Alligator mississippiensis: one gene and its partners. The protein of the gene in region 3 purifies or fractionates together with the protein of the main gene of each other region. This does not show direct contact. Links are inferred from orthologs where the notes say so. Each region holds a gene or a part of one and is shown on either strand. Other genes may lie near its edges.

Region 1 (7,229 bases), about 5.2 Mb from region 3:
AGACATTGGAGTGGTTCTGACTGCCGCACCCGATCAGGAGCAGAGGACACTTACAGGTAGGCAGGATTTTCAGGATCACCACCAAATCAGCTACATTGTGCCCTGTCGTCATGGTGCCCTTCTTGTAGGATCCCACCTGGCGGACTTCTTCAATTTGCTATTTCAAGAGAACAAGCCAAAAAAGTTAATACAAGCCAAGAGCACACAACTCAACTTCACAGCCTCCCTCGAGAGGGAGCCTCTAAGGGCAGGAGCAAAGAAACCAACGCTGTAAAACTGATCTGCCTCATCAGGACAAGGAGACACCCAACCAGACTAAGGCAGCCTCCGAAGAGCTGCACCAACCCTGCAGACCTGGCACATCTCGGCAGACAAGACTGACTCACCACTTCAAAAGTTCCTGGCGCCACTATCAAGTTGTCAATCACGTTGTTTATTTTAGTCACCAGAGACAGGATGGATGCCTGAAAAATAAGAGAGCACGCGGTGATGGCAGCAGCAAGTGACCGTTTCAACTAAAGCTGAGATACAAATGCATGCCTTTGTCTCAAAGGCTGGGAAATTATGGGATTTGGATAATCCTGAGACATGCAGAGGAACAGACAAGTCAGGAAAAACAGATTTAAAACCACTTTCCAAGCAACATAGCCCTTTTCCATCCTACAGCAGGCTGGAATTAGCACCCAGCCATGGTTCTGTCCCTTGGTCAAGTCGAGAGACATGCAAAGCTAGGTCTCCCTTTGCAGGAAGATCATTTCTGGTGTTTGTTACAAAAGAGTCTACACTGAATTAAGAGTAACCTAGCACCAGTCTGAGTTCAGGAAAGTTTTCCATAGGAAGCACATGGGAAGCAAGCTTTATTAACCTGCTCGGCTGCAGTTGGAGCCAGATCCTGGTTTCTCTTCAGCAAGGCTTCACTGAATGCCGTCTCATCAGCTGCAGGCTTCACGCGAGGGAAGGCCATCTCACACTGCAACAGGAGCAAACGTTAAAGCAGCAGCTCCACAGTGATACAAGATCTTTGGTGCAGCACTTAAGAAGAAAACAAGCTTATCCTAGTTTTCCTCTCCACTTTCCCTAGTAGCTTCCAAATACATTTTCTTGCTTACAGCCTTTTGGACACGGCAACCAGGCTGCACATTCTATTTCTACTAGGTTCAGTGGAGTAAAAAGAACTTCCCTTCCTACCCACATCTTTACCGAGGCTCCAGCATCAGGAGCAGGTCTCTGAAAACTGCACCTTAGTTACCAGAACCTGCAGCAAGGCATTTATGCATGCTCTGCACAGAAGCTTTTTTAGTTTACAAGCAACAAAATGACATAGAGAGGTAGGACTTAAAAGGTATATCTCTAATGATGGATCCAGCTGAGTACTAAAAGGCAGTAAAGCATCTGAGACCTATTAGATGACATACCGAATTTCCTAATGAGACCCTGTAGTTACTCAAACCGCTTGAATTGTTGCAATGGGAACAAAGATCCTGGCCTTGTAAGGCAAGGAAATGGTTAACCCATTTTCCCTGAGAAAGCCACACCTGTGTGTCCCTACACCAGACAGGCTCAATGAAGGAAGGAAATGAGCTCCTCCTCTTCCTCCTCTATAAGAAGACAGAGAAGAAAGTCATTCCTGTTTAGGCCACACAGAAACCAAGACCTGGAGGAAGGCCAGACTCTACTGCTCTGGGAACCTGGCTAAGGTAATGCACACTTTGGGCTACTAGCTGCAGATCTGGGAGAGGATTTTCATTTCCTGTTCCACTCTTTAACAGTGGGATAGGTTGTGATGCATGTTAGTGATAAACACCAAGGCTTTCCATACTACACGTCTTCAACCCTCTGTCAAACGCTGCATGGACACTGCCTCAAAGACCTACTTGCCTCCCGCTCACTTGAGCAGGCCAAGAATCAGACGTACATTTTTGGTTTTGAAACTCACTATTTCCTATGGCCCCACAGGATGTTCTGCTATTACATTCCCTTTCTTAAAAGAAACAAGCAACTTTTTTTACTTCAACAAAGTGTTATTTCCACTACAACCCTGCTGCTGTTTTATACAGCCGGCACCAAGCACTGCGAGAGGTTACTTACCACATAGAAGTCAAAGGGAATGTGTGGCACGAAGGGCCTGAATCTAAAAGGAAAAAGTGGGAGAAAATGGAGGTGAGTTCTCATTATATGCAAAGGACAAGAATATTCCCCCCCCCCCTGCCTGGACAAACTTTTGAGAAGCTTTAAAATGGGTGACTAGACGCATCCCTCTCCCTAGGAACCTAGGCTGGAGAAAAATCAGAACTGCCTTTGACTGGGTCAGACCACAGGCCAGGTCCAAGCTGCGCAGCCTCCCGTCAGAGGGGCAGAGAGCGGAGCTGGAAGGGAGAGCGAGCTGCATCTGACCAGCGTTTTTACCGCTGCTCTCTCGCATGCAGCCTCCAGCACTGAAGGTCTAGGAAGCTTCGCTTCTCACAGAGGTTTAGGGCAGGAACAAGCTAGAGGCTGTTGGCCCTGCAGGGCCCCCTTGGCAGCCCCTCAAAGTGGGGTCCCAGGCTAGGGAGGCAGCGCTCCCACCAGCACCCTCTAACAGAGACGGCGCTCACCCGCTGCCAGGGCCCCTGGACCCGAAGCGCCCGCCACGGCCGCGACCTCGATCACCCCTGGGAGAGAGAAGAGGCAGTGAGTCACAGCTGAGCAAGGCCCCGAGCCCCTGCCCCTACGGCCAAGCCCTCTACCCCCTTCATCCTCCCCGCGAGGCGCCCCCACCCCCCTTCAGCCCTCCCTTGCATCCCCCGCACTCACCCCCTCGACTGCAACCCCTGTAGGGCACCCCGTCCTCCTTCCCCGCCCCGCCTGCGGGGTCCTCAGCCCCTCCCCACATCCCGACCCCCCCGGGCCTCCCTAGCCGCCGCTCACCTCATGGCGCCCGCTACCCCCGAACAATGGAACCCGCCGCCGCCGCCGCCGAGAAGAAGCCGCCGGCCAGCGCTGTCCACTCCGCAACAAGCGGCCCGGCGATTGGTTCTCGCACAGCCAACCGCGGGCTGGTATTTTCGCTCGCTGTTTGGCTACTGGGTTGCTTCCCCATCTATCTCAAACGAGCCAATCGGAGAGGGAGCGCTGGGCCAGTTACAGGCCCGGGGGGCGGGAACAAGAAGGCGGCCGTTGGCGAGCGGGCCCGTGCTACTGCGCATGCGTCTTGCAGGGCGCGAGCGGGGCCGCAAGGTGGCGCGGGACGTGCGTAGAATGGGTGCTGGGTGGCAGCTCATGGGCGTCTTCGCTGCGCATGCGTGAGTGGCTGGAGGTAGCCTTATATGGAGTCATCAGAGCTCTGAATTCAAGCAGCAGAGTGGCGCAGCGGAAGCGTGCTGGGCCCATAACCCAGAGGTCGATGGATCGAAACCATCCTCTGCTAGTTGTTTCTTTTTTGCTCCTTTTGGGTTAATTAAAAAGCTGGGTAATTAATTAATTAGCTGCTTTTCATTAGTACCGCCTGCCTGCTTTTTCCTGCTGTCCTATGCAGCCTGAGGGGCCTCCCCACACCTGGGGGGGGCACATCCAGGGAGCACGTGCTCTCCCATACCAGGGAGGGGGCAGAAACAACCCACTGTCCCAGGGCCTGCCCTGCCATCCCTGGTACCCCCATTCCTGGGGGTGCTGCTGCCCCAGGGCTAGGCCTGCTCCATGCCCCTGGGCTCCGGGAGGCCCTGCCTGGGCCTTGCCACCCTTGTAGCCCCCCAGCTCTGCCCCCCAGGTCATGGTGCCCAGGCCCCTGCTCTCCTGGGGGCAATGCCCTCCCTGACTTGTTTCTCATGACTGCCCTGTCTGCCCAGAGAAAGGGTGGGCAGGGGTCTCAGGACCCTGCCCCAAAGAGGCAGCGGGTGGCAGGGACCCCCTCCCCATGTGTCAGGGCCCCCACCTACCTGCCCTGCTCTTTACCTGGGTAATGGGCCCCATTAGTGCCCCGGTCACGGGAATGCCCGATTGTGGCAATCCCATGTCCTGCACTAATGAAGCTGCAAAAGCACCTCCACTTATCCCAGCTGCCAGGGGGCGTGACCCAGCAGCTCCCCTGCGGGAAAGCGGGCTGGCAGGATGTGCCCAGGTCAAGGGTGCAAACATGTCCCCCAAGAAGCTTGCCTGGGGTCAGCCGGCAGGGCAGGATCTGGGCTGTCAGGGGTGAGTGCATGACCGGCTGCTCATGGCACCCCCCCAGTGGGGCCCGATCCTTGGCCCAGGCCGCTGGGGTCCACCCTGAGCAGAGCAAGGGAGAGGGCTGGGGGCCACCTGTCATCCCCTGACTCAGGCAGCTGGCACTTGGTGGAGTGGCATAGAGCCTGGCAACACTGGACGGGGGAACATCTTGGGGCCCGGGGGCTGTTCCAGGATAGGGCAGGATCAGGCCCCCAGCTGCTGGGATCAGGTCCAGTGTGGTTGCGGGGGCGGGTGCTGCATGCTTGGTGTTTTTCACCCATCGGTGTTTTTCCAGCTGGATCAAACCCTTTCCCCTCCCCTCGTCCCCCCCCCGCCCCGGCTGGGGCAGGCACTGCCAGTGTGGGCCATGGTGGGTACCGAGGTCCCAAGGGGCTCAGGGGGGGTCAAGTGGGATACACCTGGGAACCCCCAACCATGTGCAGAATGAGCCCACTGCTCCCGCTCCACCCCGGCCCCCCAGCTGCCTCCTAGCTGCCAGGATGAAAGGGGGGAACAGATTCCCTCCCATGCAACCCCAGGGCTCCCCCAGCCTGCCCCATCCCCTCCCCCAGCCTGGGGGGCCAAAGGCACCCACTGTCCCATAGCCCCCACTACCCCCCACCCTCCTCTCCTCTAATTATGGCAGAATGCCCTGGGGGGGTAATGCATACAGCCTGCATCGCCCCCCTTTGTACCCCCCCCCACCCCATTAAGATGATAGATTTGCCCCTCGGGGGGCATCTCTTCCTGCCTCCCCCTGCGGGCACGGGGGCGGGGCAGGCCGGCAGCTGCAGGCAGCAAGGGGTTAAGGAGCCGTGCGATGATAACAGCCCTTTTGTCGTTGAATGAGGGGAAGGAAAAGCACTGCCTGCCCGGGAGATAATCAGTCGCTCGCTGGCGCGGCACCGAGAAGCAGCGCCGGGTGGCGGGGCCGTGGCAGGGCGCGGGGGCGCGATGCCACAGGCCTAGGGCAGGCGTGGGGACGGCAGCGACGCCATGCGGCGGGCACTCGTGGCACTGCTGGGCGCGCTGCTGAGCGCAGTGGGTGGGGCGCGAGGCCACGACGCCAACCTGACCATGGCCGTGGTGCTGCCACACCGCAACCTGAGCTACCCGTGGGCCTGGCCCCGGGTCGGCCCGGCCATTCAGCTGGCCATGGAGCGGGTGAACCAGCGCCCCGACCTGCTGCCGCGGCACCGGCTGCAATGGGTGTTCGGCAGCAGCGAGGACGAGCACGGCGTGTGCTCCGACTCGGCCGCACCACTGGCCGCCGTGGACCTCAAGTGGGCCACAAATCCCAGCGCCTTCCTGGGGCCCGGCTGCATCTACGCCTCAGCGCCTGTGGCCCGCTTCACACGGCACTGGCGCCTGCCCCTGGTGACGGCGGGCGCCGAGGCGCACGGCTTCGACGACAAGGCAGACGTCTATGCACTGACCACACGGGCTGGCCCCAGCCACCGCAAGCTGGGCGCCTTCGCTGTGGCCCTGCAGCGCCACTTCAACTGGACACGCCACGCCATGCTGGTGTACTGGGACGACAAGCTGGATGACCGGCCCTGCTACTTTGCCATCGAGGGCATCTACGTGCAGCTGCCCAGCTTCCACAACCTCACCGTGCTCGACATCCCCTTCAAGGACCAGGACAAGGCCAACTACACCTTCCTTGTGCAGGAGATCAAGAGCAAGACACGGAGTGAGTGCCCCCAACCCCTGCCCCATGTGCCCCACAGGCCCCAGGCCCACTCTGCGCAGTGAAGGTTTGCCCCAGCGCCCCAGGCCAGGCTGGCAGTAGGGGTCAGGGTACAGGTGAGAAGGGGACACATCTGCCGTGACCAGGGTTGGGGAGACCGTACTTCTGCCTTGCTCCTGGGGGGCTCGGGAAGAAGCAAAGCCCCACATGGGTCAGGGGGCAAGTGCATCCCCCTTCCCCGTTCCCATCCCTCCAGGGCGGGAGCTCCCAGCAGCTCCCCCAGCCTCCAGGATCGGGGAAGGGAGCAGCCTGAGGATTGGAGAAGGGGGCATCCTCAGGGAAGGGGTCAGCCCCCCAGTCCCAGCTGAGGTGGGGGGGCCAGGCACAGCCAGACGGGGGTGCACCCAGGGCTGGGCACCCCCATGGCTCCTCCTTTCCCCCCCGGACCCAATCCTGAGTTGTTGGCCAGCCCTTGGAACGTTTCCCCCGATGTCCCTGGGCTTTGGATCGAGCCCTAATGTGGTACAAGAGTGTGTGTGTGTGTGTGTGTGTGTGCGTGCATGCGTGCGCACGCACGTGTGTGCATGCACGCACAACAGTGCACACAAACAGACATGCCATGGCAGAGCCCTGTTGCACAAGCAAAATTGGTGCCAAGTCCCCTCCAGTCTCCATTACCCCTGGCATGTCTCGGGTGTCCTGGCAGAGGGTCCCAGCCCTGACATGAAGTGGGAAGCATGATGGAGCCACCCGGAGCCCTGGGGGGAAGCACAGAGCCATGATGGGTCCCCGGGGTCTTCTCGGGGTTGACCCCCCAGGGTCCTCTCACTAGCTGCTGTCACTGGGACCCTCCATTGCCCCACCCTGGGCACCCCCTCCCTGTCCACCCCCCACAGCTGAGAGCCCCATAAACAGCTGCAAAGCTGGGGCAGCTCCATGGCCACGGAGCCTCGCGCCCCTGGGTTTCCACTGGGCCCTGTGGAAGCCATGGTGGAGGGAAGGGCGAGCGCCCGCCCAGCCCATAAATCACGGCAGGATCTTGGCAGTGGGAGAAGGAAACAGAGTCCTCAAAACAGGACGTGGCAGCCACAGGGCGGGCAGGCAGGGCAGGGCAGGCCACGCCGCACGGACCGGCCCTGCTGCAGCCCCGGGGGGCACGTGGCCCCTCACCCAGCTGGGCAGGAACACGGCGTCCGCGCGGCAGGACAATAACAGGATGTTCCCTGCGTGCTGGGCTGGGCCAGGGGGGCAGGGACGGCTCTGCTCCCCTCTGTCCGGACACGGCCCTCAGCCGCCCACGCTGGCATGACCCTGAGATGCCCACAGCGGTTCCTGGCACATGTAAGGAGCAGCC
Region 2 (7,904 bases), on a different chromosome or scaffold from region 3:
AACCCTTTTGACAAAGGAGGAGTTTTATTTAGGTGTTAAGTATCAGCGTGCCACAGCTGGATTCATGGAACTTACATCTTATTTCCAACCATCAATGGCCTACTTGGTGACTGTGGCCAAGTTATTTCATCTCTGGGTGCCTAATGCACTATCTATGACCCCCCCTTTATACAGTGCTTTGATCTACTTGTGAATGGCACTCTGAGAGGTACATTCTTCTCGCCACGGAGATTCTACTTACCCTAACATTTCAACAATTAAAGAGCCTGAATATATAATAAAAAACAAGCAAAAGAACTTTAATAAAAAAGCGTGAAAGGCCTCTCTCTTCAACCTATAAAATACTACAAATGTACTACTGGGAGGTAACCTTGGAGTACAAACTGCTTAACCAGCACTTCCCTTCTATTTTCTTTCCATTGTGTCCTAGCTCCACTTTTGAAATACCTGGTGTGTATTTCCAGGAAAAAATTTCTCAATCTGTATTGTACAGACATTGTAAGACTAAGGAAGATGTTTTTTTCTGCAACGTCAGAGTTCAGATAGAAGGTTAGATTATGGTCCAGAAACTTCCACTACACCTACCTGTGCTGGAGATAAACAAGCCTTAATTTACAATAGTTATATAAACTTTAACAGATATATATAACCTTTAATACACTTGAGGGAAGAGGCAACATATTTCCACAATAATTGTTATTTTAACCTTCACCTAATATTCAGTTCCTGGCTGTTGCTTACCTTCTGGCTGTTCCGATACAATATTAGCAAGGTAGAAACAGTGAGCTAGAAATGGGAGTCCTTTCCTAGCATCTGACACAGCAGATCACTGTGAAAATTCATGCCTCTCTGAACCAGTTCCAAGGGTGCTGCCCCGCCCTACCTTCTGCCTGACATCAGGCTAACATAGCTAGCCACCTATACTAGAACATTAATGAAATATAATTTTCAGGATTATAGTGACTACATAATCCTAACCTATTTTTTATCCAGATACATCTGATTTACATCAAATTGAATATTAATGAGCTTTGAACAAACTGACTCTCTCAATTTCATTGCTTTTGATCTATTTCAAGCCTTCCCTAAAAGCATTTTAACTACCTGTTGCATGTTACTACAATTTGATTTTGCAAAAGTGCAAAGTAATTGCTACAACTGAAATGAATCAATACACCTTAGGGTCATGACGCAACTAAAAGCTTAAATTCTTTGGCTATAACATTTACATTCTGGGTCACAAACATAAGATTGCCAGTATTAAATATAACAGTAAGCCTTTAGTAGGAGCCTAAGTCTAATTCAAACACAAAATTCATTGCTATTTGGCAGTCTGAGTCAAGTCTGTTTCAGGTAAAGGCTCATCAATGGAGGTCTTCATACCCGGGAGACTAGTCCTTCTCCGGGCTGCAGTCTCTATCTTCCTCACCAGGTCAACATCCCATGGATGGGTCACATAACTAATTGCAGATCCAGACTTCTGGCTACCCACACGCCCAACACGCCCTACCCGATGGAGATAGTCCTGCAGGGTGTCTGGGAAGTCATAGTTAACTATCAGCTCCACGCGGCTAGTATCCAGTCCTCGGGAGGCTAAATCAGTGCAGACAAGGATGTCCTTCTCTCCCTTCTGGAAGGCAGAGAAGATACCTGCTCTCATGGCTGCAGGCATCTGGCCCTGCAGTCTCAGGTGCTTGACTTTGTGATTATCAAGGATGTAGCTGAGCCAGTTGACCGTGGGGGCCTTGTTACAGAAGACCAGAAGGGCTCCACTGGAAGGGCTCCGGACTTTGATGAGCTGCAACAGCTCAGACACTTTGTCTCTACCTTTGATCCGGACAAATTTCTGCTGGATGTGGGGTAGGAGGCAATGCAGGCTCTGACTGACGAGCCTGACAAAGTGGCCAATGTCACTAAACTTGCTCAGCAGCCGGCTCAGGCCTCCAGGGAAGGTGGCTCCGACAACCACCAGCTGGGTTTTGACATCCCACGGATCAGCCAAATCCTGGGGGCTGCAGGTCAGGGGAGCATGCGCCAGCACCTCCTCCACCAGCTCCAAAAACGTGGGGTCCAGCAGGGTGTCGGCCTCATCCAGCACCAGGCAGCTGAGCTGCTCCAGGGTCACCATCCGCTTCCGCAGCGCCTTGCACAGGGCCCCCGGCGTGGCCAGCAGCACATCCAGGGAGGGCTCCGCGCACAGCTGCCTCTTCACGCTGCCCATGCCCCGGCCGCCGCCGATCTCCCGCACCCGCAGTCCCAGCGGCCGGCATAGGGAGGTGGCCACGGAGCGCACCTGCTCCGCCAGCTCCCGTGATGGCAGCAGCACCAGGCTGAGGGGGCTGGGCGCCGGGCCCGAGTGCAGCTGGGGCCGGGGCCCCACGAAGAGCCGCTGCAGCAGCGGCAGCAGGTAGGCCAAGGTCTTGCCGCTGCCCGTCTCAGCGGCACAGATCGCGTGGCGGCCACGCAGCAGGACGGGGATGGTGTGGCGCTGCACGGCCGTGGGCCGCCTGAGGGACAGTGCGTCCAGGGCGGACACCAGCGCCGGCTCCAGCCCCAGTGCCCCGAAGGACGAGTCGCCCCCCTCGGCCTGCGGCGGCGCGAGCGCCGGCGCCAAGTCCTGGGCGCGCTCCAGCTGGAAGTAGTCGCCGCAGGACAGCCGGTGCTTCCAGCCCGCCGACACCAGGCGCGGCGCCTCCCAGCGGCCCAGAGTCAGGCGGCTCGGCTGGCTCAGCTCCCGCCGCCGGCTCCGCAGCAGCAGCTTCCCCGCCCGCGTCGGGACCGCCAGCTCCGCCGCCGCCACCCGCCGCCGCCGCCGCCGCTGCTGCTGCTGCTGCTGCCGCCGCGCAGCCCAGGGCACCCGCACCACGTGCTCCGGGGCCGGGACCCCGGCCCAGCTCCGAGCCCAACGCAGTAGCACGAGCTGCACGAGCCCCCGGGGGACCGCCGCTCGCACCGCGCTCAACGCCATGGCCGCGCTCATGTGGGGGTGGCGGGCGCCGCGTGATGACGTCGCTGTCGCACTCAGCGGGCGCGCATGCGCAGTGTGCGGCGGTGACCGGGTGCTGCGGCGTGAGAGCTAGGGCCGGGTTCGGGCAGGTGAGCGCGCGCCAAGTCCCCTCCCCCCTGCCCCGGGGTCGGGCCCTGGGATGCGGTGCTAAAGGCAGCGCGGGCCTGGGGCTCCCCCGTCGGGAGACGGTGCCGCGGGCCGGAGGTTGAACGCCCCTGCTCCAAAGGGTGCGAGAGCAGAGAGTCGCGTCCCCCTCTTCCGTTTTAGTCCCAGCTCCGGCTTCGTTTGCTTGAAAAGCCGACTCCCCCCACTTGGGTAAATTCAGTAAAACCAAAACGCGGCCCCCGCCGGCTCTCCGACCCTTATTTTCTTCAGCTATTGCCTACCTTAAAGAGCCGGTGCCTCAGTCGCACGCGGCCCCCACTGACAAAAGAGCCCCCTAATTAACCTTGTTGCTTGTGTGAGACTCTTGCACTGCATCTCAGAGCCCCAAGGCTGATACCCTCCAAAGCCTGAAGCCAGGAGGAAAGATGAGGGTGGCGGGTCACTTGCTGATGAGATTTGCTGCGCTCTGGAAAAAGGAAAGGTTGATGCCCAGCTCGTCTTTCCATTCTCTTTACAGGTGGTCCTGCCGTTCCTGCTGGTATCTAGCTAGTAAGTAGATTTCATAGACATTAGGGTTGGAAGGGACCTCCGAAGATCATCGAGTCCAGCCCCCTGCCCCAGGGGCAGGAAGTCAGCAGGGGCCATAGGATCCCAGCAAGATAGACATCTGAATGTCTCTTGAAGGTGTTCAAAGTAGGCGCTTGAACCACCTCCAGTGGCAGGCTATTCCAGACCTTGGGGGCTTGGACAGTAAAGAAGTTCTTCCTTACGTCCATCCTGAAGCAGTCCTGAAGGAGTTTGTGACCATTTGACCTTGTCATCCAATGGGGCACTGGTGAACAGATGTTCCCCCAGATCCTGGTGAACAAACTTATAGGCGGCCACCAGATCACCCCTGATCAAGGCTGAAGAGTCCCATAGCTCTCAGCCTCTTATCATAAGGTCTGTGTTCCTGACCTCTGATCATGCATGTGGATCTCCTCTGCACTCGCTCAAGCTTTTCCTCATCGTTTTTGAATTATGGAGCCCAAAACTGGGCGCAGTACTCTAGCTGTGGCCTCCCAAGGCCAAGTACAGTGGGAGAATAACGTCCTGGGCTTTGCTTGAGAAGCATCTATGGATGCAAGCCAGTGTTTTGCTCACTTTACTAGCCGTAGCATCACGTGGAAGGTTCGTGTTCGTCTTGTGGTCAATCGTGACCTTTTCGTCTAGTACTAGCCAGCATAGCACTGCCGAGCCTATAAGGATGCTGTGGGTTTTTCTTCCCAAGGTGAAAAACCTTGCATTTTTCGGTGTTAAACATCATCAGGTTCTCATCTGCGCATTTCCTGAGCCTGTCAAGGTCAGCCTGGATGGCCCTCCTATCCTCAGGTGTGGACGCTTTACCCCAGAGTTTGGTGTCATCAGCAAACTTGGCCAGTCTGCTTCTGATACCAATGTCCACATCATTAATGAAGACGTTAAATAGTATAGGCCCAAGGACAGAGCCTTAAGGGACCCCACTGGTCACTGTGCACCACGACAATTGACTTACATCAACCACCACCCTCTGGGTCCAACCACAAAGCCAGTTCCCCAGCTAGCAGATTGTGGTGAAGCTGAGGCCACAGTTGGCCAGTTTTGCCAAGAGGTGATAATGGGATACCAGATCGAAGGCTTTTTTAAAGTTAAGATATATGACATCAATCTCTTCTTCATTGTCCAGGTGATAGGTCACTTGGTTGTAAAAGGAAATAAGATTGGTCAAGCAAGACCTACCTGTGACAGACCTGTGCTGGCTATACCTCAGGATGTTGCCATCAGCCAGTCTGTTAAGAATGGCCTCTTTCTTTGATAATCTTTTCTAAGATCTTCCCCAGAATAGAGGTCAGGCTGATGGACCTGTAGTTTGCCAGATCCACTTTCCTACCCTTCTTGAAGATAGGCACCGCACTGGCCTTCTTCTAATCTTCAGGCACTTCACCAGAGCAGCAGGAGTTCTCGAAGATTCGTGCCAGGGGCTGGGCTATGATGCTTGCCAGCTCCTTGAGTACTCTGGGGTGTAAGCTGTCGGGGCCGGCTGACTTGAAGGTGTCCAGCCTCTCAAGGTGTTCCTTCACAAGGTCAGCATTGATGGAGGGTAAGGAATCATCCTCACCCAGGGGTTCCTGTCCTGTAATGGGCAGGGGTGCCCCTTGGAACTGGTGAAAAACTGATGCAAAGTACCCATTTAGCAAGTTGGCTTTTTCCTGTGTGTCGGTTGTCAGTTGTCCCATGGTTTAGCAGGGGTCCAATGTTGCTCTTGCTTTTCCTCAGGCTGCCCACATATCTAAAAAGGACTTTTTATTGTACTTGGTACTTGTAGCTAGTTGGAGTTCAGTTGCAGCCTTGGCTTTCTTGGTTTGCTTGTATTCTGCAGGTCTGGACCTGTGCAGAATATTCCTCCTTGGAGGTGGAACCAGTCCTCCATCTTTTGTAGGTCTTACTTTTTAGATGCAGGAGGTCTGCTAGTTCCCTCCAGAGCCAAGGGGGCTGCTGTGCTCTTTTGCTGCCTTTCCTCTGAGACGGAATAGATTTAGCTTGTGCTCCCTTGAGGAACAACCACTCATCCTGAACTCCCCTCCCCTTTGGGTCATGATTCCTTAGGGTCTCACTGACAAGCCTCCTGAGCTTGTCAAAGTCAGCTTTCCTGAAGTCGAGGACTTCTGTATTGCTGACTGACTTGCCAGCTTTCTGGCAGATGGTGAAGGTGATCAGCTCATGATCACTGCCACCCAGCTTCCCTTTGATTGTTAGGTCGCTGATTAGGTCATCCCCTGTAGCCAGTACCAGGTGAAGCAGCGCTTTACCTCTCGTCGGCCCGTTGATTTCTTGCGTCAGGTAGAGCTCATCCACACACGAGAGAGCTTTGCAACCGCTCTGATTTGGCTGAGCGCTCTTCCCACGAGATGTCTGGGTAGTTGAAGTCTCTCATGATAACTATGCATTGGGAGCATGCATCTTCAGTCAATTCCCTGGCGAACTCCTGGTCAAGCTATTGATCTTGGGTAGGAGGTCTGTAATAGACTCCCACCATTGTGTCCCCTGTTCTGTGTTCCCCCACAGATTTTAACCCAGAGGGTCTCCAGTCATCCACCCTGGTTGCCCCCTTACCGGCTTGCAGGGATGCGTAGCTTTCCTTGACATAAAGAGCTACACCCCGGCCCCTTTTGTCCACTTGATCTCTCCTGTACAGGGTATAGCCATCTATACCTGTACAGTCCAGTCATGGGTGGATGCCCACCAGGTCTCCGTTATCCCTATGACGTCATAATTATTTGTGTTAAGCAGGCAGACAAGTTCCTTCTGTTTATTCCCCAATCTCCTGGCATTTGTGTACAGGCAGACAAGTGTCTCTTTAGGGGCCCTTGCCTTGCCCACAGCTCGTTCCAGGGCTTAGTCAGGGCTGGGCTCCTTTAAGTGCCTTGACCTGCTGCCTTTGCAAGGGTTGCTCAACGGGCCAGCAGTGGCAATAGTCCCCCCCATCCCCTGGTGGGCTTAGTTTAACCAGTGGTTAATTTTAAGATTGCTCTTTCCTCACTGGTGTGAAGTAAAAATACCACAATTTTCTCCAGCAAAATTTCATATCTTATTTGTTTCATAGGTCTAGATTGTAGCCATGTTGGTCTAAGGACATAGGCAGACAACATTGTTTGGGTTCAGCCTGAAGAAGGGTGTTTGTACCCAAAAGCTTGGAAAAAAGAATTTTCCCAACTATTTTAGTGGTTCTAATAAAAGATATTGGATTTACCCAAAGAACCTTGTCTGACTATGTCCTTAGACCAACATGGCTACAACCTGTACCCCGAAACACTTTTTTCCAGCCATGACACTCAGTTGTTTTGAGTGTACTTCGCTACTGTAACCTGCTACATGATGGCTGCATCTTCTAACCTGGCACTTTCCAAGGTGGGCTCTCAACTATGCTACTCTCTTACCTGCCTCTCTGCAAGGTGGGGTTTTAGCTGTGTTATTCTCTTACCTGCTGATGGGGCAGTGACCCTACATTACAAAATTCTGTCAGCACAGTTATGTCTGTTAGGGGTGGGAAAAGATTGATGGACATGGCTGACGTGTCTCTGCTGACAAAACTCCCAAGCAGATGCAGCTCTGCCAGCAGAAGGCAGCTTTTGTTAGCTTAGTTCCCCACTTTGTGGGGGACCTAGTTTAGTTCTGATGGAAGAAAAATTCCTGCTGGCTGACCTGACTTCCTCAGTTAATGCAGAAGTTTGTAGAGCAGGCTTTCATTAAATGCCACTGGCTTGTTGCTGTTAGTTGCTGCTTGGCCAAGGTGCATCAGTGATGTTGAAATGTTATTTTTCACTGCCCTGGGGAGAAAACAGCGAAACGGAAACAAGACTGAGCAAAATGATGCCGATGCTATTGCATTGGCATTGTTGGAGCTGTCTATAGGCAGGTTTAAAGCAACAGCATAACAATGTCTTGCACTCATGCAAGGAACCCTTTTAATGAAAGCTTGTAAAGACCAAATCTTCCATAGAAGCTTCCTACTCACCAAGAATGAATGGATTTTTTTCAAGTCTTATTGGCTGTGTTTTTTATATTTTATTATGATTTGCATCGCAAGAATGTCTTATGGTGCAGGGGGAGAGTTCTTTAGGATGGGGATTTGCAGTTCGGTAGTCTTTCTGCACAGTCAGTCACAATGACTACATTAGAAGGTAACATAAGTTGATCTTAGGTACTTCTACATTTTGCCCGTCTCTCTTAGTGGTAGTGCTATGGATAACTGAACTTTCAGAGAACCGAAATG
Region 3 (7,638 bases):
CTCCATGTGACTGACAAGTCTGACCCGCCCTTGAGTATCCAGGCAGAAAAGCTGGGTGGGACTGTAAGAGCCAGCCAGGTACTTACTGACAATTTTGTCCACAGAGTCGTGGTCATCGAAGGTGACAAAGGCAAAACCTCGCTTTTTGCCACTGCCGCGGTCTGTCATGATCTCAATCACCTCGATCTTGCCGTATTGCCCAAAGTAGTCCCGCAAATGGTGCTCCTCTGTGTCTTCCTTGATGCCCCCGACAAAGATTTTCTTTACTGTTAGGTGAGCACCAGGCCTTTGAGAGTCCTGCACAGGACAGAGAGGAAATGCATGAGGGAAAGAAGCATGACACAAGCACCCATTCTCTATGCAATAAAGGTGGCATCACATGGACCAGAAGCACATAAGTCACAAACCAGTGCATTGAAACTGGCTGCTCTCCTGTTGCCTGAAGGAGCACCTGGTGGGTGGTTAACAAATCCCCACCTACACCAGACCCCACAGTAAGGGGAAAGGGCTAATTCTCAGCCATGTTCCAGTGCAAAGGTGCCCATAAAGGCACAACTGGGGATTGAAATTGAGATGGAAACTGCAGCCCACCCCAAAACCACAAGCAAGATGGGGGAACTTTGTAACCCAGTCTTTCCGTGAGAAATAGCAGAGACCACCTTCCCACCCCCCCCAAACACAGCCAATGAAACAACAGGCTGCAGAAGCTACCTCGGGAGGAATCGTTCACAGCACAGAACGTAAGGAGCTAGAGCAACTCCCATAAATTGGAGCATGCCCAACCAAGTCTCAAATGACCAGAGCAGCCACGCAAATGAAGGGCTCCACTGTTAACTCAGCCTTGGTACAAGATGGAGGAGCACGCTTATCACCGACTCACTGGACTAGTCTTGTTGTTCCTACCTCTCTGGACACAGCCCTCTTTGGTTCAACAACTCTGCCATCGACTTTGTGCGGTCTGGCGTTCATGGCGGCATCGACTTCTTCAACGGAGGAGTACGTGACAAATCCAAAGCCCCTGGAACGCTTGGTGTTTGGGTCCCTCATCACCTAGAAAACACAAGTCTCCATGAGCAACCCAGCAAAGACGACACAAGTGCACAGAGGGAAACCTAGAGAGAACATTAACTGGCATTTCAGAACAAAAATACATATAAATGCATGACTAAGCCAACCCGATTCGTTTTAAGCTGCAGACAGAAGTGCAGCTCCTAGCTGTAAACTCAACTTGCTGCTTAGCAAGAATCTTCTACATTACCCCAAACCAAACAGAAGTTCACTGTTAGTTCCAGGGCGAGGGGAATGGAGGTGCTTTCCAACACCAACAGCCAGAACTCTGCCATTGCTGTTTGCATGATGGGAGGGGGAAAAAGGCAGCAGAGAGAGCTCTTCTGGGGGCACCCAAGCTGGTACTGAAGGGTTGGTGGACTAATTGGTGTGCCCCCACCCAGGGGGGGGGGGGAGGGGGGGTGTTTCCTAATACATCCACCCCATACTCCAGGGGGATGGAAAACCCCCCAGACTGAACTCCCTGTTCCCTTCCCCCCTCCCAATCTGAAAAGGAGGGGCTGGGAGCTCTGCAGACACAAGTTACACAAGGTGCTACATTTTGTAACGTCTTTATCCGATTCCTCATGCAATAAACTGCTTTTTGTGGCCAGAGGAGAAAGGTGTCACTTGTCCGCACCCTTATAGCACATTATATATACTTAAAAGTAATTATTTGCACAAATAAAGGTGATAAAAACACCCACTCTATTTTAATAGGTGCTAATCTCTCTGTAATCAGTTTCTTTTCTTCTGCCATTTGCCTGCTACCCCTGGGAACTTTTCTCCCCATTTATCCCATATGCGCTGTTGGCTTTTACTCAGACAGGATGCTGTTTGCGCTTGTTTAATCACATCAACGGCAGTGCATCTTTAACACCACAAAGGCAGCTTAAGGAAACCCATCCAACAACCCCAAAGCACCAAGGCTTTCAATACTCCATCGGACCAAGGCTAGGACAAGAAGACCCCGACCAATTTTCAGTCTCCTCGAGTACAAGTGCCACACGAGCTTATCTACCCCCCACCTTTCTCCCACGCAGGAAGAATATATAGCAGCTCATTAAATGGGTTTAACTCAGCTGAGGGGCCAGCCCGGGACACCCACCACGCAGTCGGTGAGCGTGCCCCATTGCTCAAAGTGGCTGCGAAGGCTCTCGTCTGTCGTCTCAAAGCTCAGACCGCCGATGAAGAGCTTGCGCAGCTGCTCGGGCTCCTTGGGAGACTAGAGAGGAATAGCAGGGAGTGAGCGGGAAACGAGACCTCGCAGGACTGGGGGCTAAGCTCCCGCCCGCAGGTACCCCAAACCCGCCCCCCCGCCCCTGCCGAGCCACGCGGGAGCCCCGGGAGAAAGGAAGCTCCGGCGCATGCGCAGTCGCCACGGCGCGCCGAGCACAAAGGCGCCCGCCCGCATGGCCCCGCGCGCCGCGCATGCGTCGTCCGCCCCGCCGGCCACGCAAGCCCACCCCCACTTGCGCAAGCGCAAAAACCGCTCGGCGCCCTCCGCCACGCAGGCGCAAACCCCAACGGGCGGGAGGACCCCGGCGGACGAGGAGGCCCCGACGCACCTCGGCCCTGGACATGGCGGCGGCAGCAGCGGCGATGCGGGCTCCTTGAGGTGCCGGCTCCGAAAGGGGCCGAGCAACGCCGGCGCCACCGCCTCACCCCGCCGGCGAGTTCCCATTGGGCGGCAGCCGCTGCGCCCCGCCCCCCTCACCGCCTCCTATTGGCGGAATCCCAGAGGCTGCAGGCTCTCATTGGTGGAAGAGCACCCGCGCCCTCCCCCATTGGCCAGGACAGAAACGATCCCGCCCCCGATCATGGCGACCATGCGCAGAGCCCCGCCCCTTCCCCCACCCCCCGCGCTCACCTTCTTTCCCGCTCGCGGCTCCATCCGCTCCATCGCGGGTCGCCCTGCTCCGCGCCGCCGCCGCTACTACCTCACGCCGGGGTCCGGGCACAGGTGGGAGCGGGGAGGCGAGGCCGCGCGGACTCCACCAGGGCGAGAAGCCGCGCCGCGGTTCAGACGCGCTCTAAGAAGAGGCCGGGGGCGGGCTCGCGCACGCGCAGCAGCGCGCGGGGCTCGCCCTACTGCGCAGGCGTAGCGGTGGGGGGGGCGGCACCTAGGAGGGAGGGGTCTGGGCGCTCATGCGCGGTGCGAGGCTCGCCGGCGCATGCGCGCTCGCGGGCTGTTTTGGCGGGCGGCGGGCGTTGCGCAGGAGCGGAGTGGAGAGGCAGGGGTGCCGGATCCGCTGCATCCCGAGGTACCCGGGCGGCGGCGCGGTCCGGGGGCTCGTTGTATGCAGTGAACGGGGGAGTGCGGGCGGGCTTGACAGACACGCGCGTGGGCCAATGGCGCGGCGCGTTGGCTCCGGGGGGGCGGGGCGGAGGCGCCGTTGCCTGAGGAGAGCGAGAGCAAGGCGCGGGGCCGTGAGGGACGGGCAGCTCCGCCAATGGGGCGGCGGCTTCGGCACCGGGGAGGGGCGGGGCCCCGCCGGCGGACGGGCGACGGCGGCGCCCAATGGCCGTGCCGCTTTTCTCCGCGCGCGCCTGGAACGCGGCCGGATTGGCGGGAGCGCCAGCGGCGCCGGCCAATCGGCGGCCGAGGTGGGGGGGGCTAAGCGCCCGCCCCGCTGCCCGTTACCGAGTTACCCCCCCCACCTTAGAATGGATCCAGGCGTTCGATCCTCATTGTGACGTCGGGGGGGTGGGGGTTACCGCACCGACCACGTGGGTGCGGGGGAGGGGGGGCTGGGACCCTGTTTGGACCCGCATACCCACGAGGGACCCCCCCCCCCCCACCATGGCCCTAGGTCCCCGCTTTAATGCGTCCGAGGAGCGGGGGTTGGCTTCCGGTTTGGGGCTGGGGCTGAGTGTCGTTCTCGTGCCAATCTCCAGGGCTGGTCCTCGCGGCTGGATCCCCACCCCTTTCGGGAGAGCGGAGCAAACACCTCGCTTGTATGCCGCTAACGGGGGTGGGGGCTGCTCTTCGTAGGCCAGGGGGAACTTTGGCCCACCTCCCTCCCCCCCCTCCCCAGCCGGTTTTGCAGTGGGGAGTAAGGGTTGGGCACGTGGGGCGATGCCTCACGAGGGCAGCGGGTGGGAACCCCGCCGCGTGTCGCAGCTGGAAATCATGTGCGCGAAGGCTTTGGGCGGCTTTGGGGGTCCTTGGCACCACGGCTGTAGCACGGATGGGAAAGGCTCCGATTGGGAGACCTTTTCCTTGTATTGAGGCAGCGGGGGGGGCGGCGCTGGGGAGGAAGGGAGGTCCTGCTTGGCTTGCACAATAGCATGGGGGCCGTCCACGGTGGAAGCTTTTCTGGCCTTCAAGCCAGAGCGAACACCAGTTGCTTCCCCGCCTCCCTCACACGAGGCCTCGGAGCATGGGCGCTGCTGGTGGAAGCTGCGGCCATCTCGTACCCTGGCTGCAGCGCGCGGCCCCTTGCAGCAGATCAGTGCGCTTTGCAAATGGAGCCAGGGAGGTGAGACCACAGCTCCTCGGCCAACAACGAGCCATGAGCTTTCCTTCCAGCTGGACCAGACGGCCAGGTACTGACGAGGGGCCTGGGCTTAGCCTTGGAGGCCTCCTCTGGTCCCAGAGCACGGCGAGGCGAGATTGCTGCGTTTTTTTAACGCTTCCCACCCCCAGGGGATGTCTAGTCTGCAAATGTGGCTGTGGCTGCGGCCTCTTACCCAGCTGCCCCCTACAACGCTCCTGTGTATGTGACTTCTCTTTGTAATGGTTCCAGTGGAAAGAAGCACTTGGGTCCCAGATGCGTTGCAGTGGCTAACAAGGGGAGCCTTGTGTTTAAACAGAGCGACTTGGAGAGCCGAGAAGGGGAACGGGCTCCGTGCAGGAGCAGACTGGGTTTCTGCCCCCCGGAGGCCATAGCAGCGGAGTCCCCCTGCCTGCGCCTCAGCCTCGTGCTTCTCTAGCAAGCCCCGGCCTGAGCTTTAACAATGGGCGGCGGTAACTTCAGCCCGACCGGCAGCGGGGTTTGCCTTTAGGCTCCGCTGGGATGAACGGGGAGCTCCTGCTGCTGAGCCATTGTCTGCCTGGCTAGACTGCTGCAGCAGGGCTCGGCTAGCCTTGCAGTATCTTAGTAACCAGACGGGCTGGCAACTGCAGCTGTGTCAGACTGGGAGGGGCTGGTGCTGCGTGGAGACCCCGGCAGGCTCCTGCTGCCTCTTTCTCCCAAATTAACCAGGGCTGGTGTGTGCGTGCATCTGCTGTGGTCCTGGGTAGTTGGGGTGGCATCAATGGGAGGTGATGGATCAGTTGAGGCGAAACCAAAGGGCCTCAGCTAGGTGAACTCTTGCATTCCTGGGAGGCTCCCTGCACTGTCCTGCCTGTGCGTTGGTCTGTGGCCTGGCCCAGAGGGGTTTCGAGCCGTGGCTGGGGTTTTCCATGCCATCGGAGAACACATGGGACAAAACAGATGAGTCTTGGGAAAGATGCCAGAGGCTAAATCCTGCCCTGTGCAGAAGACCCAGCGCTCTGGGCTTCAGCCATGTCTGCTGCCACGGAGCAGGATTGACCCCCACGTTTTGGTGGCCTCTCCAAGCCACCACCTCTCCAGGTGAATTAACTGCCCGTCACCAGACCGTGCTGGAATCTTGCCTCCAGCAATAAATACGCCCTCATGTTGAATGCAAGCCCCTGGCGCTAATGAGACATTTAAGGTTGGTTACACAATTAAAAGGGCAGGAAATTTCAGCCGTGGAGTTTCCGCTGGGAACATTAACTCTGCTGCATTGCGCTTTCGCGACGCTTTCAGGGAGCACGGGCGAGTAAAATAGTGACCTCCGCGCTAAACCTGAGCTGGGAGCGTGGAAGATGGATGCGATGAGGAATCCGGCTAATATTGCTGTTGGAGCCTTCGCTCCCGCGTTCCTCGCCTGAGCGTCCTGCCCTTCCCTCCTCCGCGTTGTAGCTGTACATTGAATTTCCAATGCTCTTTTTCTTTTTAACAGAAAGGGGAGGGTGTGAGAGGAACAAAGGAGGCCGGGAAGTGCCTTGGAACTGGAGAGCCGGTAGGAGCTATCCCTAGACCAGGCAAGAAGGAGCTTTCCAGCAGGGCCAAGTTCATCCATCTCAGAGGCATTAGCATGATCCAAGGGCACACGGGCCATTTCCCTCCACTTCAAGCACCTCCGTTTATTGAAGAGCTCTTCCTTTCTTCCTTGTGGGAGAAAGGGTTGTCCTGTGAACCCAGGTAGCGAGCACCTTGTCCAGCCACACTGCCAGCCCCTGTTTGAGAGCCTGATGGCTTTTCTGAGCCTGTAACAAGATGTGCGAGGGACCTTCTTCCACAGGAAGCTGGCCAGATGGGGAAAGGAGTTGCTTGCCATATATCGTGCTAGACACCTCCTTCATCCATGCCTAGACCAGGAGGAATGTTGGTGCCTGTTAAGCAGCATGTGCTGGATTGGTTAAATTAGGCTCCCCATAAAACTATCTAATATGCAGTGGCTCTGTGGTCCAAGCAGGGAATGGGGGATTTACTTGGATACTTTTGTCCCTAGGTAGAAGAAAAGGGGTGGGCGGGTGTTAGTGATCCTGTTAACCAGTGTCACTACCCTATAGCAGACAAGGGAGCTGTGGTTTTAGCGTGCTCCCTGACAGCCTAGGCACCCTCCTTTTTGTATAGACTTTGTGCAACAGAGTCTAAACCCAGTCTGTCTTGCTGGCCCTCAGGCTTCCCTGGATTGATCCTTGCACAGAAGCTGTGGGGAATCCCAAGCTCTTTAAGAAGGGAAACGCCTTGGATTAAAATGTCTGGTGCCTGTGGTGGCTCCAGGACTTAGCTAAATTCTCTGCTTGTAAAAAGGTGTCTTAGTTCTGGCCTGTATTTCCTTAGCTTCAGCTTCTGGCTCGCTGTCCCCTTGTCTGCTTGGTTGAGGAGTCCTTGATCTTAGCGTTTCCAGTACCTGGGTGGGTATCTGGGGTGGTCTCAATCTTCTTTTGGGCTCTTTGCTCTCATGGCAAGGCGAGGGTTCCCATCCTTCAGTCGTTCTTATGGCTCTTCTCTGAGCCATCTCTAGCTCAGCGCCCTTGACCGGTGGTCCCCAGCCTGCACGCGGTGTTCCAGCACCAGTCACTCCAGCACCAGGTAAGGATCTTGTAGAAACAACTTGCGGTTCCTCTGCCCTGTCTGCCACAGGGTTATATTGGAGGCACTTGCTTTCAATGATTATCCTCGATGCCCCAAGTCACTGCTGCCAGGAGAGAGCTCATCCTGTCAGTACAGCCTGTATTTGTTCCTTGCTGTTAGCCACAGCCCACCACGGTCCAGCTGCTGCCCTTGCGATGGAGCCCCCCTTGATATCAGCACTCCATCCCCAACAGCTCCCCCTTTGTCGCTTATCTCGGTTTTTATTTTGCCCGCAACATTTTATTTCGCATTTCAGATCATGGTTGCGTTTCCTTCCGGGCGTGAATAACCATGTTAAATCATCTGCATGCAGTTCTGGTCCCCCACGCCTCAAAACGGATATGGTTGAACTAGAAAAGGTCCGGAGAAGGGCAACCAAAATGATCAGGGGCATGGAACAGCTGCCAGACCAGGAGAGAGGCTTAAAAAGGCCAGG
Region 4 (7,727 bases), on a different chromosome or scaffold from region 3:
ACCCACGTGGCCGCGCTAACCTTGGCGGCACCGCAATTGTCTGCAGCCCATGGAAGTGCAGGGGGTGGACCAGGCTGTGATAGCGCTCTGCAGCAATGAGGCACAGGAAGCCATTCTTGGCATAGAAGTTTGTGATAGCGGGGGTCGGACCCGATGATCTGTTTAAGTCCCTTCCGACCCTAAATACTATGCTTCCTTTCCCCTCTCTTCCCCTGAGCTCCCAGGGAAGCCAGCAGGACCCTGCTTGATTTCCCCAGCACAGCTCAGAAACACGCTGCCTTAAGTATCTGCGTTTTGCTTGGTTTTGAGAAGGTTTTTGGCATGATCCAGTCTGACAAATTCTGGCCAAACTCTATGATGCTGACTCCTGGGGCCTCCAGCTGATGGGGAAATAAGCAAAAGGGGAATAAACCATGCAACAGATAGGCATGGCAACATGGAGAAAGGGGTGAGCGAGGTCTGCATCCTTATGCTTTCATAACTCAATGCAGACACGGAAAGCGTAATAGAACCGTGCTCCAAAAATTCCAGCGCAGGACCCAGGCATTAATGGGATTTATATAAATGTACCTAATATATGCAGATAACCTTGTTTTAATAGCTTCAGCTAGAGCAGACCTCTAGAATATGCCTAGTGCTTGTACTATCAGGACAAGGCAGAAAGAAAATCAGACAGAAGGAGGCGGAGAGCCAGCTATGTTGGCAGCGCTGCAAGACAGCGTCGGGTCCAAAAGAAGGCAGGTACGTTACAGCTCTGCCATGGCAGCAAATGATGGGAAGTGGTGATCTGTGACTTGGGACTGGGAGACAGATGGAACCGCAGTTTCCCAGGAACGTGAATGCAACAGCTGCATTTCCGCCAAAGTTCCTGAGGGAAGATGCGAGCAAAGCCCAGGGGTTCAAGCTGTTGAAGACTAGCCTTGACAGCTGCTCTCCCTGCATTGCCCCTAAAACACCTCAAGATGATTGCTCATGCTGTTGTGCAGGGGGCTGTCTAGAAATCTCGCTTCCGCTGCTGCGAGTGACTTGCTTTGCTCTGCCTCAGCTGAAGCCACCTTTACTTAGTGTTCAGCAGAGATGCAGACAAAGCAAGGGCTCTTCTTCCTTCCCCAGCTGTGAGATGCTCTAGGGAGGTCACTCGGCCAGAGCGAGAAAGCCCTCCGCCAGTCCCGACCTTTGTGCCTTTAATTTCTGCTTGGTTTGCTGAGGTTTGCAGGGATTTCCTTGCTTTTTAGAGTGAAAAATAAAAGGAAAGAAAAAAAATAGCAAGTCATTGCAGATCTGATCAGGCAGCCCAGCTTGGCTACAGCATTTGTTGCAGAGGACCAGATCCCAGTGTGCAGGCTATGAAATCCTGACCACTCAGCCTGATAAAGAGTGGGTGAGTGGGGGGAGTTGTGTGGTCTGCATGTGCCCCCAACCCTACCGTATCCAGATTTTTTGTGTCTTTTGTAGATCCCTTGAGGAACGGGGTTTGGGAGTCCATAAAGTGACTGTGCTCCCTCGGCGAGGCAGCTCCCTTGGAGAAGCAGGTGAGGCGATCTTCAGGAGCAGAGCTCGAGGCCCTCCTTCCTGTGGGACAGGGACTAAGGCTCTTGGCAGACACCCCGTCCTCTGCTAGGGCAGAGAGTACATCATGAACGACAACAACAGCTGTTATTGCCCCATGGCTTTTAACACCACCAAGTACTTCCTCGTTCCCATCTACTCCGTGGTAATAGGGACTGGCTTGCCTCTGAACTTCTTGGCACTCTGGGTCCTGGTGTCCCAGATCAAAAAGGCTGTGGTCCTTTCGGTCTTTGTGATGAACCTGGTGGTGGCTGACCTACTGCAGACCTTGACACTGCCCTTCTGGATCTACTACAGCTACCAGGATCACCGCTGGGACCTGGGGGAGATCACTTGCATGGTGGTCCACCTGATCTTCCTCACAAACTTCTACGCCAAGAACAGTTTCCTGTGCCTCATTGCTGCAGAGCGCTATCTCGGCCTGGTCTACCCCCTGCGCTTCCACGGGCTACAGACAATGCGCAGTGCTGCCACGATCAGCGCAGCCATGTGGATGATGGTCATTGGCTTCTGCTCCTTGGGCAACTGGCTGCAGAACCTGGGGCCAGACCGCTGCTATGACTGCTACCCACAAGTCATAAAGTACGTCCGTTTCCGATGGGCCGTCTTGAGCATCTCCTTCCTCCTACCCTGCTTCTTCATGGGTTTCTGCAACATCCAGGTCCTGTGCAAGATTAGACAGGTGTCATCCCTGGAGCAGGAGAAGAAGCAGCACATGTGCTGGTTTATGTCCTTCATCATCATCTCCTTCTTCCTGCTCTTCCTCCCTTATCAGGTGAATTTCTTGTTGAAGCGCCAGATGACGTCACCAGACTCTGACACGTGTCATCTGGAGAAGAATTTTTTCACTTACAGCCAGGTGGCAAAGAGCATCCCCACATTGGGCAACATCACAGATCCCCTTCTCTACATCCTGCTCCTCAAAGAGGGGAGGGCAGAGCTCAGGAACTGCTTCAGAAACATGGTCTTGAGATCAGCGTCGTAACAAGGTCAGACCCAATGCCACCATCCTCCTTGGCAGGGGCAGAGGTGCGTGTAGGGACTGCCCTGGGTAGGATTTTTCAGGACAGTCCTGAGTGGCAGGGCTGCATCTGGGCATACGTGATGACTACCTGATCCACCCCAACTTGGGAATGCTGGCCCTGGAGTGGCCCCAGGCAGCGTCCCCTTGCATCTGCTGAGGGGGAAAGCCCAGTGCTGCCTGCAGCTTGACTGCCCCAGGGGAGAGGGGGCCATGGCTTTGCTCCAGCTAGTCCACTTGTCCCCCTGGTGACACCCGGACATGGCTATACTAATTAGTTCTGCTGCAGTGGCATATGCATGTAGCCATGCTACTTCCAGCAGCTGCCTCCTGAGCGAAGAGCAGCTCTGTGCCTCTCAGCAGAGCCAGGCAGCCTGGCCACAGCATCGCTGTTATAAAAACCGGAACTAGAAGCGGTGTGAACAGCTTCTGCTTCTGAAAGACTTGGGGGCGGGGCGTGGGATAGCGGTCTGAATTTCGACCACATTGGAGTAGGGTTGGATGGATGCCAGCTCAGACCTGCGTCTAGACTACTGGCTATGGGGGCACGAGCCTATCTGTTTTTTGAGGGTTCATCTGTCCAATCCTGGTAAGGCAGCAAGTGCCAACCAGCAGTCGGCGACCACCCACAGACACTGCTGTAATGGCAGGCAGCGGCGTCCGCGGGCTGCCCACAGACGCTGCCGGCAGTGTCGGCAGCAAGCAGTGACTGCCAGCAGTTTTGGTGTCGCCTTTGGGTGCACCGCTACACTCAGGGGGTGTATGCATCGCCAGTGATTGTGCATCGCCAAATTAAAGTAAAAATGCTTGGATCTTTCTGCCTACTGGCCTTGCACCTTCACAGGGCACGATTTTCAGCCGTTCTCTGCCCCGGGAGGGCTTAAAATTGAGAGTTTAGTGTCATCACCCGATTCCAGAGTCAATAGCTGTGCGGGAAGGACTGGTCTCTTGAGAGCTGGCAACACTGGACAGGCGCTGTGTGAAAACCAGTGATGGACTGGGATCTAGGGGAGATGGTTGAGAGGCGATAGAGAGCAGCTGGTCCCTGCAGTGCCAGGCATTGCCTGTTTAGAAAGGGACCAGGGAAGTTCTTGGAGGAAAGCGGCGGCAGCAGCTATTGAGCAGGGGTGCAGGGCATGTGTACACATTTGCTTTCATGTGCATTCGCCTGCTTTATTGCACATTAAAGCATCACAAAAAAGCTGTGCACTTTTGCTAATGTGCATTAAACGAATGTGCCTGTTCCAGTAGCTCTCAGTGGAGGTACTAGATTTAATGAACATTAGCAAAAGCGCATTAATGAACGTGGAGAAGCGCCCTAAGCGCCGGACGCTGCAAGAGGGAGGGAAACCCCTGGGCAGACCCAGTTCACTCGCAGCCCCCTCTCTCGCCCCACCCCCTCTGGCAAGGGTATCAATGATTTCAAACTGGCCAATGAGCGTTCGGGAAAGGCAGCGCCCAGCAGCGATTGGCGGAGACGTGACCAATCCGCGCCAGCCCTCTCCCTTCCACCGAACGCGCCTTGCTCGACAGCCGGCGCCGGTCTCTGACAAGGGGAGTGTGGGAGGGGAAGACAGGAGCCGTACGTCATCCCCCACCGGGACCAATAGAAAAGCGCCCATGCCAAGGTCCTGGCTGCCAGTCACAAGCTCCGCCCCGCTCCCTGGGGCTTTTCCCGCGAGTCTTTCCCTGTTCATCCCGCCTCCTCGACTATAGCCTATAAGAGCTAAAATTACCGGGGAGTGACAGAAGTTCCAGCCATTCAGGGTGGATCGATGCAGAGAGGTGGGCCCGTAAAAGGCTTAATGACCAATCACAGAAAGACATGAGGCAGGGGCGGAATCGAATGTGCCGTTCACCCAATGAGAAAAGACTGCGGCGTGGACTGACAGCAAGTTTAACCAAGCAGAGGAGAGTGTTGGGCTGCGGGAGTAGAGCGATGGGAGCAGCAGCCAGTGGTTGCTTACGCCCCCACTCCGCCGAGGCAGGGGGGGTCGAACCCGCCGTTTCCCACCCCTCAGAGTTTCCTCTCTCATTGGCCAGTAGCAGGATTGACTTCTTTGCCAGCCAATGACAGTGAATAAGGCTGTTCCCTCTCTTCCAATGGGGGCGGGGACGGGGTGGACTCGGATTAGTCCGGGCTGAGCGGTGCAGAGGGCGGCGTGGGCGCCATTTTGTGAGCAGCGCGGAGCCAGGAGGCCGCGGCGGGAGCGCGAGCGACTCGAAGTCTGAGCGGGGCCTAGCGGTGAGTCTGTCGTTGCTGCGCCGCTGCACGCAAGGCTGAGCTGGGACAGCGCGGGGCCGCCCCCCCGCGGTGTGCTCCGCCTCCCCGCGCCATTTGGGGGTAGCGGACCCCCCCCGCCCCTCGGCGCGGCTCTGCCCGGCCGGGAGCGCGGGGGAATCCCGCCCCTCCCCCGGCTTACAATGGTGCAGTCCAGGCACCACAGCCTGTTCTCCTGGGCGAGACCATCGCGGGGCCAGGGGGGGAGCCGGGGAGAAGAATGGTACGGCTCAGACGGGAGAGACCACCATGGCGGGGTGGAGGGGATGATATCGCTGAGGGGCGGCCGGGCGCGGGCTGACCAATGGGAAAACGAGGAATCCGCCCCCCCCCGCGGGGGGACAATGGTGCGGCCTGCAGAGCCCGGTTTCCCGCTTCTTTGGGACAGACCAATGGGCGCGCAGGGGGGGGCTGGCGCCTTCACCTCCATCCCCACCTCCCCCGCCACGCGGCAGTGGTCTCGGCCAGGTGGGGGTCTGGCTCCCGGGGCCTGTGCTGCAGGGGCACGCGGCCTGGTGGGCGGCAGCTGGAGCAGAGCCTCGAGTGGGCAGGAAGAAGGGGCTCCTGTCTCGGCCTGCCGCTCTCTGCCTGCGCCTCGGCCCTGCATGCGGATCCCTGCAGCCAGAGGGCACGGTCCGGGTCCGGCCCCCGCGGGCCTCACTTCTCCCCCTCCCCCCCCTTCCACCAGGAATAGGCCCCCTCGCCTTGCCTCGCCCCCTGTTCCCTGCCGTAGGTAACGCCGGTGCCTCCGGGGAGGCGTCAGCGTTGCATCGCGTCCTGGGCTGGAGCAGGACGCGTGCCCCCGCAACCCCCCCGCACCCTCAGGGCAGCTTGAGCTCCAAGGATCCTCCGTCAGGATAGGCTCGCATGACACTTCCCCCCTCCCCGCCTGCACGATGCACCCCCCCCATTCGAATCTCCTCCTGCCGCCGTGCTTGACGTCTGAGCTGCTTCCTTGGAGACGGAGGAGCGGAGCGGAGGGGTTAGCGCAGGATTGGTGGCAGGAGCCCTAGCTTGAGCGCTCGGGGGTCCCTGGAGGCAGGCAGGCCTTTCTCGGGGCGGGGGCGCGGGAGGGGCGCGCAGCGTTTCCGAGGAACCCTGACTCAACCTGTCCCTTCTCCTTCCACAGGGCAGCGAGGCGAAACCCCATCCCTCCTCACTGGAGCTCAGCTTCGTGTTAACCCCCTCCCCCCCCCACACACACACCTCCCCATTTTATAGAGCCCTTTTAACAGTGCCCCCGGGGCTCAGCGCTCCCCGCGCCACGCTGGAGCTGGATTTAAGATGTAATTTTGCAAAGTGTCTATTTTTTTCTGCAGCAGCTGGGTTAGAGAGGAGGAGCCTTTTAGCCCCTCATGAGCTGACCTCTCGGGTATTTTTAGAGTGCAGTGGTGGTGTGCAAAGGGCTTTGATTGTCTCCTACCAAGAGCTCTCCCCACGTGGCTCTGTGGTAACCACAGAGCGCGAGAGAGAGGGAGAGAACAGAAATGATCGTTGCTGACTTGACCTTTCGGCACCTCCCGTTTTTCTAATCTGGGCTATTTTTATTTTTGTTTTTTTACAGCGAGATTTTTTTGATCTTCAGCTACAGTAAGTTATTCCACATTTTTTTCCATTTTTCCTGCCTTTCCACTGATTTCCTTTTTATTGTTGTTGCTAGTTACTATTACTATTATACTACTATAATGCTGATGACTTTACTATGCTGATATATTACTGATGGTGATGATAAATGACACTGCTGATTTTTAACCAGATGAAATCGCGTTTTTCTGAGTGTTCCTGACTGAGCTGGGTTTTTACCCTTTGTGAGAGACAACAAGGTTTTTGCATTTTTAAAGTGGATTGATCACGCTAACTCTTTTTCCCCCCCTTGACTGCTGAGATTGGGACCTGGTTTCTCCTGAACTGTTTTAGAGCGTCTCTGGAAGTCTGTATTTTTATTTTTTCTTTTGTTTTTTTTATTTTTTTATTTTTTAATCTTTCGTTTGTGCCATTTTTAAACTTGCTGCCGTATGATGTCTGTGGTGCTGATCGCCTGTGGTGGCGATGGCCCTTCCCCAACAGCCCCCTCCTCTTGTGCCCCCAAAACCCTCCTCCTGCTCTCTTCCTCTACGCCGTCCTTCCCTCAAAACAACCCACCACCACGCCACGGACACCTGGCCTGGAGCGGCAGCAACAGCCAATGGAACCGCCCGTGGAGCAGATACAAACCCATCCCAGGCGATGGTAAGAGGTGTGAGGCCAGTAGATTTCACTGTGAGCTTTGGCCACCAGAGCCACAGGCCCAGGCATGGAGGAGTCCCCAGCACAAGGATCCTGTGTTATACCGCAGGCCTGGTTTAGGGTTAGAAGCACCATGTCACAACTGTCACCTTGGCTGGCAGAGCTGTGTAGGAGCGTGGTGGGAGCCCTGGCGCTGTGGCCTTAGTGCTGGGAGAATAGACCCCGCAGGGAAGGCCCGGCTATGGGAACCGCAGCGGCTCTGCAGAGCTGGTGCCCCACGTGCCGTGAGCAGTGCTTCAGGAAGACATCTGGGTTTGACCTGGACAAAGGAGGAAAAAAAGCCATGGGAGTCTTGTTCCCCTGCCTTTGGGCAGGCTGGTCCCCTGCTAAAGGGGAACCTTCCACCTCCTGTGAATGTCCTTCTGCCTGCTTCCCCCTCCCTTTCCCCAGTGAGGAAACCATCTCTGAGCACAGGACACCACATGAGACCTAGAACAGTGCATAGAAGCATGCTGTCCCTTGTAGTGGGATGGCAGGTCAGGCCTGGAGCCGTGTGCAGGAACAGCGTATGTCTAGAAGGCTTTCTGTGTTTCCGTGCTGTGTCTGCAAAAGCAGCAGGAGCTTGAGCCA

The links. The genes of interacting proteins can lie anywhere in the genome.
Region 1: the proteins of HNRNPA1 (region 3) and ILF2 purify together in Homo sapiens (affinity purification with mass spectrometry; 4 studies listed by BioGRID and IntAct, with this or other methods). This does not show direct contact. The link is inferred for Alligator mississippiensis from reciprocal best matches to the Homo sapiens genes HNRNPA1 and ILF2.
Region 2: the proteins of HNRNPA1 (region 3) and DDX28 purify together in Homo sapiens (affinity purification with mass spectrometry; 3 studies listed by BioGRID and IntAct, with this or other methods). This does not show direct contact. The link is inferred for Alligator mississippiensis from reciprocal best matches to the Homo sapiens genes HNRNPA1 and DDX28.
Region 4: the proteins of HNRNPA1 (region 3) and HNRNPC purify together in Homo sapiens (affinity purification with mass spectrometry; 8 studies listed by BioGRID and IntAct, with this or other methods). This does not show direct contact. The link is inferred for Alligator mississippiensis from reciprocal best matches to the Homo sapiens genes HNRNPA1 and HNRNPC.

The regions. Positions count from the first base shown.
Region 1 is NC_081838.1:13,197,770-13,204,998, reverse strand, and holds the start of ILF2 (interleukin enhancer-binding factor 2), read right to left. Parts: upstream 3,001-7,229; 5' UTR 2,913-3,000; coding exon 2,908-2,912; intron 2,652-2,907; coding exon 2,595-2,651; intron 2,132-2,594; coding exon 2,089-2,131; intron 971-2,088; coding exon 866-970; intron 465-865; coding exon 387-464; intron 158-386; coding exon 55-157; intron 1-54. Other genes in the region: NPR1 (atrial natriuretic peptide receptor 1), read left to right, coding at 5,182-5,878. UniProt on the Homo sapiens protein: Chromatin-interacting protein that forms a stable heterodimer with interleukin enhancer-binding factor 3/ILF3 and plays a role in several biological processes including transcription, innate immunity or cell growth.
Region 2 is NC_081833.1:45,274,304-45,282,207, reverse strand, and holds the start of DDX28 (probable ATP-dependent RNA helicase DDX28), read right to left. Parts: upstream 3,001-7,904; 5' UTR 2,981-3,000; coding exon 1,322-2,980; 3' UTR 1-1,321. Other genes in the region: DUS2 (tRNA-dihydrouridine(20) synthase [NAD(P)+]-like), read left to right, coding at 5,120-5,231. UniProt on the Homo sapiens protein: Plays an essential role in facilitating the proper assembly of the mitochondrial large ribosomal subunit and its helicase activity is essential for this function. May be involved in RNA processing or transport. Has RNA and Mg(2+)-dependent ATPase activity.
Region 3 is NC_081838.1:7,977,963-7,985,600, forward strand, and holds the start of HNRNPA1 (heterogeneous nuclear ribonucleoprotein A1), read right to left. Parts: upstream 3,009-7,638; 5' UTR 2,951-3,008; coding exon 2,918-2,950; intron 2,724-2,917; exon of another isoform or gene 2,631-2,723; coding exon of another isoform or gene 2,616-2,630; intron 2,273-2,615; coding exon 2,156-2,272; intron 1,051-2,155; coding exon 904-1,050; intron 298-903; coding exon 87-297; intron 1-86. Other genes in the region: CBX5 (chromobox protein homolog 5), read left to right, coding at 3,222-3,311. UniProt on the Homo sapiens protein: Involved in the packaging of pre-mRNA into hnRNP particles, transport of poly(A) mRNA from the nucleus to the cytoplasm and modulation of splice site selection.
Region 4 is NC_081830.1:3,830,615-3,838,341, reverse strand, and holds the start of HNRNPC (heterogeneous nuclear ribonucleoproteins C1/C2), read left to right. Parts: upstream 1-4,727; 5' UTR 4,728-4,835; intron 4,836-6,000; 5' UTR 6,001-6,157; intron 6,158-6,435; 5' UTR 6,436-6,461; intron 6,462-6,467; exon of another isoform or gene 6,468-6,886; coding exon of another isoform or gene 6,887-7,100; intron 7,101-7,727. Other genes in the region: probable G-protein coupled receptor 132, read left to right, coding at 1,667-2,554. UniProt on the Homo sapiens protein: Binds pre-mRNA and nucleates the assembly of 40S hnRNP particles. Interacts with poly-U tracts in the 3'-UTR or 5'-UTR of mRNA and modulates the stability and the level of translation of bound mRNA molecules. Single HNRNPC tetramers bind 230-240 nucleotides.